Arabidopsis thaliana: one gene and its partner. The protein of the gene in region 1 binds, or shares a complex with, the protein of each later gene. Each region holds a gene or a part of one and is shown on either strand. Other genes may lie near its edges. The genes, in order: PSB28 and PSBW.

What was found.
Region 2: PSB28 (region 1) and PSBW share a complex: the UniProt entries of both Arabidopsis thaliana proteins name them as parts of the photosystem II complex.

Annotation. Positions count from the first base shown.
Region 1 is NC_003075.7:14,147,828-14,151,652, forward strand, and holds PSB28 (photosystem II reaction center PSB28 protein), read left to right. Parts: upstream 1-2,052; 5' UTR 2,053-2,180; coding exon 2,181-2,295; intron 2,296-2,624; coding exon 2,625-3,106; 3' UTR 3,107-3,271; downstream 3,272-3,825. Other genes in the region: AT4G28670 (cysteine-rich RECEPTOR-like kinase, putative (DUF26)), read left to right, coding at 3,560-3,825.
Region 2 is NC_003071.7:13,018,321-13,022,403, reverse strand, and holds PSBW (photosystem II reaction center W), read left to right. Parts: upstream 1-2,092; 5' UTR 2,093-2,350; coding exon 2,351-2,444; intron 2,445-2,770; coding exon 2,771-3,078; 3' UTR 3,079-3,376; downstream 3,377-4,083. Other genes in the region: LGT5 (los glycosyltransferase 5), read left to right, coding at 98-452, 891-1,412, 1,565-1,840; AT2G30560 (glycine-rich protein), read right to left, coding at 3,547-3,839. UniProt on the Arabidopsis thaliana protein: Stabilizes dimeric photosystem II (PSII). In its absence no dimeric PSII accumulates and there is a reduction of monomeric PSII.

The DNA of each region.
Region 1 (3,825 bases):
CTTTATCTATTTTCCCACCTTTTTCCTTTTGTGTCTTTTAACGCTTGCCTTCTAAGGAAGAAAAACAAAAAATATACCATTAGCTCTTAGCAATATTCGATTACATTACATATTAATGATGAATCAGTGATTATATTGTAAATCTCGTATTTAGGATATAGCCACCGAGGTGAACGTTCGAAGCATATAAGAATGGGTGACCTGCACATGTGATGAAGAAGAACAGATGATCCTATTACCCTATGCTCTGCAGCATATTTAAATATCAGATAGGTCCAAATAAATTTCATTATTAATTAAAATCAGCAATAATGAAGATATTCCCACGATCGATCTTCACGTTTCTTCTTACCCCTTTTGAATTTCGAAAAGCTTCTTTCTATTTGGTTGGTTAAAAAAAATTAAGATCGAGCCCACTCATGGCCATTATACGTGAAAACATATTTCTTTAGTTCAATCATACTTACCTTGATGCGTAACAAAAGTGTGAATACTATAATGTATGCCACTGCAGAGAGTGCAGGCTTGTTACTGTTCTTTCGTTTGCATGATTGATTAGATAAGAATCTTCCCATGTTACAGATTTATGGCAGTGTAATATAGGTATAGTATAATATTGTTGATAATATAACAAATAAAAATTAAATAAAGTGGTTAATTGTATCACTTCTTGAATGTATCAGCAAATTGTCCCTAATTAAAATGCTACTTTCTTAAACGTTCTTCAGATATAAAATTCTAATTTCGTAAACTTTCTACCTGATGTCTAAAAGACTAAAAGCATGTGTAGACGTATACACCCAAAGTCAGTGCCAATGCCTTTAAGGTAAAGTAAAATGGAGACGGAATAAAAAAAACGTACGTCAAACGAGAGAATATAATTTTTATTTTTTTTTCAGACTGCCCAATTAGCATAGCATAGTAATTTGATATCACTAAAAAGAATCCAAACTTGATAAATAATAACCGTGACAAATTCAACACCAAGATGTTTAAAAACTCAAACAGATATGTATGTATCAAGAACGGGTCGAGGTAAACTAACTGATCAATTTGATAAAGGATAAGATAAGCTAAATGCTAAATGATTTGTGGGAAAATGGCAGAGAAATGCACACGCATAATATTCATCAAAACAATTATTGTAATACTCCAACAATTACCCACTCCTCTTACTGATTTCATGTTTCCATCCTTCTTATTACAGTACTAAACACAAACTGTTGCTTCACATGCACTCATGTGGACCTGTCTTTTATACAATTGTTTTTTCTTTCTTATTATTTGTTGTTTTTAGAAAACATTCCGATCCGTAGTTAAGTTCTTCATTTGCTTAATTATCCTTTCGATCGTTGGATAAAATACCTTAAATTCTACGATTACTCAGTAAGTAATTTTTTTTTATATAATTGATAGAATACACTTTTCAGTTTTGAATCTTTCGACTGATCACTGATATATACAATATCTTAGGAAAATAAATAAATTTGATCTACACCATAAATATTATAATAATCAATTATTACCCAAAAGAACAATGGATGGTTTATAGGAGATTTTATAGACTATAGATCATAAAGAAATAAACACTTACAAGAGGTTTGAAGGCTTAATGGGATGCATGTGGATCAGCACCTATAGTGACTTAATTTAGTATTAATTTCTGTATTATCAGAGAGAGAAACCTAATCCCACAAATAAGTACCTAAACTCTTTGCAAATGGTGTTTTGTTGGGTTATATTATTAATACCATACTAATTAATATATTAACAAGTAAGTATGTATGCTGACGATTCGTCACATGGCCATCAGGGATCAGGCCATGGGATTCGCTATGGCATCACAGACTTGAGAGTCCAGCTTTTCCTTACGATCTACACGCATGTGCCACGTGTGTTTCATGCATCTTAAAAACCTCTGAGACAGCAAGAGACTCTCTGACTCTGTCTAAAGCCAAAATGGGTTTATTATATGACAATTTGACCAAAATGGGCTTATTATAAACATCTCGGGCCTAAAGGTAAAAGCCCATAAGTTGAGACGATGACGGTATCCAAATGAAGGAACGGCTTTGGTAGTGACACGTCACGATTCTCCCGCCACCACACCACAGCTTTTTGCTTCATCTCCTTCTTACTCTCTGTGTCTCTAACTCCTCGTGCACTCAGACATCACAGATATGGCTTGTGTTCGGTCGATTGGTTCTTTAACTTCTGTCAACCATTCTCAACGAAATGTTCCTCGCTCAGGTACGCGAAAAAACCCTAATTTCGCACTTTTGATTCGTCGAATTGGTAGTTGAAATCTTCGTGTTGCATGTAGCTTGAATAAGGAAAATTTCCCGTAATTTTCGGTATAATGCTGAATCCGAAACTGTAACGAGATTTATCGGAAACGAATCGGTATAAATCGTGTTTCTTTGCGAGCTCATGATTTCTCTGATTTGATAAACAAGTTGTTAAGGCAGTAACTTGATGTAATCTGATCATGGTTTCATAGTAAATGTGTGTTCTAAGTAATTGTGGATTAGGGTTATGGAAAAAGATTGGATTTTTACATGTCTCGCTATCAATTAACTTCAAGTGTGTAATTAAGAACCATAGTTTGATCCCTTTTGTTGCAGGCATTGTCTTATCTTCATGCTCTGTTCTTCCCATCAAAAGCTCATCTTTCACTGGATCCCCTGTTTCTCTCCCGCGGGCTCAACCATCATCCCGAACAGCTCTAAGACCGATGAAACCCGTCTCTATCACGATGATGGTAAAGCCGGCGCTCCAATTCATCCAAGGGACGGATGAGATGACAATCCCTGATGTTAAGCTGACTCGATCAAGAGACGGAAGCAACGGAATGGCACTGTTCTCTTTCGACCAACCATCCGTTTTCGACTCGAGCGGTGAAGTCGGAGAGATTACAGGATTGTACATGATTGATGAGGAAGGTGTGATTCAGTCGACGGATGTGAACGCGAGATTCGTGAATGGGAAACCGGAAGGGATTGTGGCGAAGCACATAATGCGATCGCCGAAAGAATGGGACAGGTTCATGAGGTTTATGGAGCGATACTCGGACCAGAATGGCTTGCAGTTTGTTAAGAAGCAATGAGGTTGGAGAGAATTTTCAATGAGCAAAACAAAATGTGTATGTTACATTAAATTTTTTCACTCTTTTGATTTATAATCTTGTACTCTCCTAGTTTTGATCTTTACTTGAGTTTCAACTTACAATGGTAATCTAGGCTTTTGTTCTGATTAAATTTGGTTTAATCTAAACAAATCCATGATTTTACTAAAGGTATGATCATAATTTCATTATGAATTGTGCTATTAGTCAAATACTTAACTGTGTTTGTGTTTATATTACGAGTGTTCAATCCAATTAAACCAAAACCGTGTAAGAGATTTAAAATAGAAAACACACTCCACTGAAATTGAACAGAATCAAAACTAAACCGAACTTTGAGCATATCCGGTTTTAAGTTGATGACCATATATAGCCAAAAGTCGTTAAGAATAGTTTATTATGAAAAGGGGCATCAAAGCATTGTTCCTCTGCATCATGGCATCGACGTTAATCTCTTCTTTGGCCGTTGTCTTGCCGTTAACGTTACTAGCTCCGTCAATGTCCATGAAAATCTCTCGAATCGACGTCCTCGGATATATTTGTAACAACGGCACCGTCTCCAACGAGGAGGCTTACCGGAGATCATATCAGATTAACCTCGACGCGATCAGAGGTGATATGAGGCATGTCAAGTTTGGAACTCATGAACATGGAGATCCTCCGGAGAGAATGTACGTTTTGTCGCAGTGTGTTAGCGATCT
Region 2 (4,083 bases), on another chromosome or scaffold:
CCTGTAAAAAGTTTTGGCCTTTACTTATGAAGCTAAATCTTAATGAATATTGTGTTAATTTAGAAGAGTCATACATAAATGTTTTGTTTCTTTTCAGCTCTCCTAACAGATTGAAGGCCATGGAAGTTGCGTTATACAAGGTCAGCCGTGCCTTTCACAACTGCCCTGCCATTGCTACCAAACTCCAAGCCATGACTTATAAAACCGAAGAACAAGCTCGGGCGCAGAAGAAACAAGCAGCATATTTAATGCAGCTTGCAGCAAGGACTACCCCAAAAGGGCTTCATTGTCTCTCAATGCGGTTGACAACAGAATATTTTACCCTGGATCACGAAAAAAGGCAGCTTTTGCAACAAAGTTATAATGATCCTGATCTCTACCATTACGTAGTCTTCTCTGACAATGTTTTGGCCTCTTCGGTTGTTGTTAACTCTACAATCTCCTCATCAAAGGTAAATGTTTCACCTTTATTCTCTTTCTTTCAACATGTTGTGGTTCAGTTCCTTTATACTCCTGAATTTGATATCTGGACAAATGCTTTAGGCTTCTACTGTGGTTAGTACCATATATAGGATATTGTCTAGTTATGAAACTAGGAAAAGGAAGTTACATTTTGTGTGCTCTTTGTTCAGTGAATAACTTTATCTTTTTTTAAATTACAGTTGAGAAACCTTGCATTGTTTTATGTTTTCATGATTCAAAACTTATGCCCCATATTGCAAGCATCTTACACTTGTTAATTCAAAACTCAGGTATCATTTTAAATCATGTTGCAAGCATCTTAAACTTGTTAATGCAAGATTCCCGATCCAAACTTGTGTTTTTAATGCTCTTTTCCGAATCTCTGCTGAAGCCACATGTCTTTTAACAAATGATATTACTGCTTGCAGGAACCGGATAAAATAGTATTCCATGTGGTGACAGATTCACTCAATTACCCAGCAATCTCAATGTGGTTTTTACTAAACCCAAGTGGCAGAGCTTCAATCCAAATCCTAAACATTGATGAAATGAATGTCCTGCCATTGTACCATGCTGAATTGCTGATGAAGCAAAATTCAAGTGACCCAAGAATCATTTCAGCGCTCAACCATGCACGCTTCTATCTCCCAGATATCTTCCCAGGTCTAAACAAGATCGTACTCTTCGATCATGATGTAGTAGTGCAAAGGGATCTAACTAGACTGTGGAGCCTTGATATGACGGGGAAAGTTGTTGGAGCTGTAGAGACTTGTCTTGAAGGTGATCCTTCATATCGTTCGATGGACTCATTCATTAATTTCTCAGATGCATGGGTTTCTCAGAAATTTGATCCCAAGGCTTGCACTTGGGCATTCGGGATGAATCTATTTGATCTCGAAGAATGGAGAAGACAGGAGTTGACTTCTGTATACCTGAAATACTTCGACCTGGTACAACATTTTATCACCTTTTAGTTCTCTGCATCAAAAATTCACACTGTTACCTTGATGAGTTTTGAATTCAAAATGGTTAATGTGGCTTATGTCCGTCAATAGAACATCTTACATATGTGTATGTTGTGAAATTGTTGTTTTGGTTGCAGGGAGTAAAAGGACATCTGTGGAAAGCAGGGGGATTGCCAGTAGGTTGGTTGACTTTTTTCGGGCAAACGTTTCCGTTGGAAAAGAGATGGAACGTGGGTGGGTTAGGTCACGAATCAGGACTCAGGGCAAGCGACATCGAACAAGCAGCGGTTATACACTACGACGGGATCATGAAACCATGGCTGGACATCGGTATAGACAAGTACAAGCGCTACTGGAACATACATGTACCTTACCATCACCCTCACTTACAACGGTGCAACATTCACGATTGATTTTTTGAAACAAGTTACCACAAAACTTAGATTCAATTCGATTCTTTTCTTCTTTCCAAAATGTTATAATTAGCTTCATTCTTTAAACGATTTCTTGTGTAAATCTTTGTTCTTTTTGACACAACACACAAAATTCTCAGAGCAGAATATCAGATATAGTTCACAGCAACATAGGTGTTGTTCGTTCTTTGGGTTGTTATATATTGCAATCTGGATGCAGTTTATTATGATGTATCAGTAGAGAAGAGAGAAAAAGATTGTGTTGGAGGGAAAGAGATGAAATATGACACGTGGAGGGCGTCGATTGGTGGAGTATGGATAGAAGCATATCCAAGTTAGATGGCTTGTGTTGGTTCGAACAGATTTTTTATCCACCACATATTTATGTTTGATCCAAAAGCCAACACAAGCAAAGAAATTAAAAGTGTTCTTGTTGCTGTAGAACACAAACAGAACAAACAAAAAATCAATTGAAGAGTCTCTCAGTCGTTAGGGGAAGCAAATAGAGAAATGGCTAGCTTTACTGCCTCCGCTTCCACCGTCTCCGCCGCTCGTCCGGCTCTCCTTCTCAAGCCTACCGTCGCCATCTCTGCTCCTGTTCTTGGTAAAAAAGCCTTCCTTGATCTTTCTCAGATCTCATCTTTTAGTAGAAATTCATTCTGGTTATGTGCAAAGTGAAGAAGATCTTTGTTTGCTTATATTTGTTGAGTGGTTTTGAAAACATGTATAGAGATAAGTCTAGTTTGGTGGTGAATCAACAAGAAGTCAAGAAACAATTTTGATCTAAAGGTTTGATTGTAGTCAGAACCAAACATTAATAATAGAAGTATTGTGTAAATGAGAGTGTGATTTTAGACCAAACTTTAGTTTAGTGGAGAATCAACAATAAACAAATGTTGATTGTAACCAGTTTAACTATTGTTTGCTCAGGTTTGCCTCCAATGGGTAAGAAGAAGGGAGGAGTGAGATGTTCAATGGAGACAAAGCAAGGAAACGTCTCAGTCATGGGGGCTGGAGTTTCAGCTGCAGCAACAGCTGCTTTGACGGCGGTGATGAGCAATCCCGCGATGGCTTTGGTTGATGAGAGGATGTCAACAGAAGGAACAGGATTACCCTTTGGTCTAAGCAACAACCTCTTGGGTTGGATTCTGTTTGGAGTCTTTGGTTTGATCTGGACTTTCTTCTTCGTCTACACTTCATCTCTCGAGGAGGATGAAGAATCTGGTCTTTCACTCTGAAGGAAGAATCAATCTTTCGTCTTCTCATTTCCATTTTCATGTGAGAACATGAATCAAAAGTGTTCACCCTTCTAGTTTCTTGTAATTGTTAAGTAAAGACTAAAAACTATTTTCATGTGTGTTTACTTTCCCCCATTCTCTTTATCTTGTCATAACATTGATAAGGAGGAGATTATGTGATTATTAAATATCATGCATGACATGTTCATCAAAACCAAACAATTGAAATGGATGTATTCAAAAGCCCATCCATAATGGTCAGTGAGAACCAAATTGATAAATTAATCTTACATTTACATTTCAATCACTGATTATTACACAAGTTTTAGAGTCTCTTGATGAATACACATATAGTTAACATGGGGTAAGACAATAAAGCAAATTATCATTTATTCATTCATTACATAATATATTTGGTAGTAAACCATCTTCACTCCATTCTCCATAGATGATCAATAAAGACCAAACTCACTTTTTACCATGGAGATTATCAAAGTAACCTTTAGTATCACTCTCAAACTTATCTCTTGAAATGGTAGAAGATCCGTTGCTCCCCGGCGCTACCATGTAGCCACCTCCTCCACTACCGCCACCACTCTTCCCTCCTTTCCCTCCTCCTCCTCCTCCACAACCACCACCATTTTTCCCTCCTCCACCACCACCACCACTTTTCCCTCCACCACAACCACTTTTCCCTCCTGCTCCACCGCCGCTTATTCCTCCTCCTCCACCACCACCTTTCCCTCCTCCACCGCTACCACCTTTTCCTTCCATTCTTTGAAATCTTAGAAGTTCTTAGTGACTCTTTAAGAAAACTTAAGTTTTGTTTAAAAGTGAGAGGTGAGAGGACGGATATTTATAATAGAGTAAATTTTCAAGTAGATGGTTGATGAGGTCAATAAGGTCGAAGAGGCGGGAAGACCTGCTCGTTTCACGAATTAGTCATATTATTTTATGCAATTTCGTTTATTTAATTGTTGTTGAATGTTAGGGAAGCTTTATCAA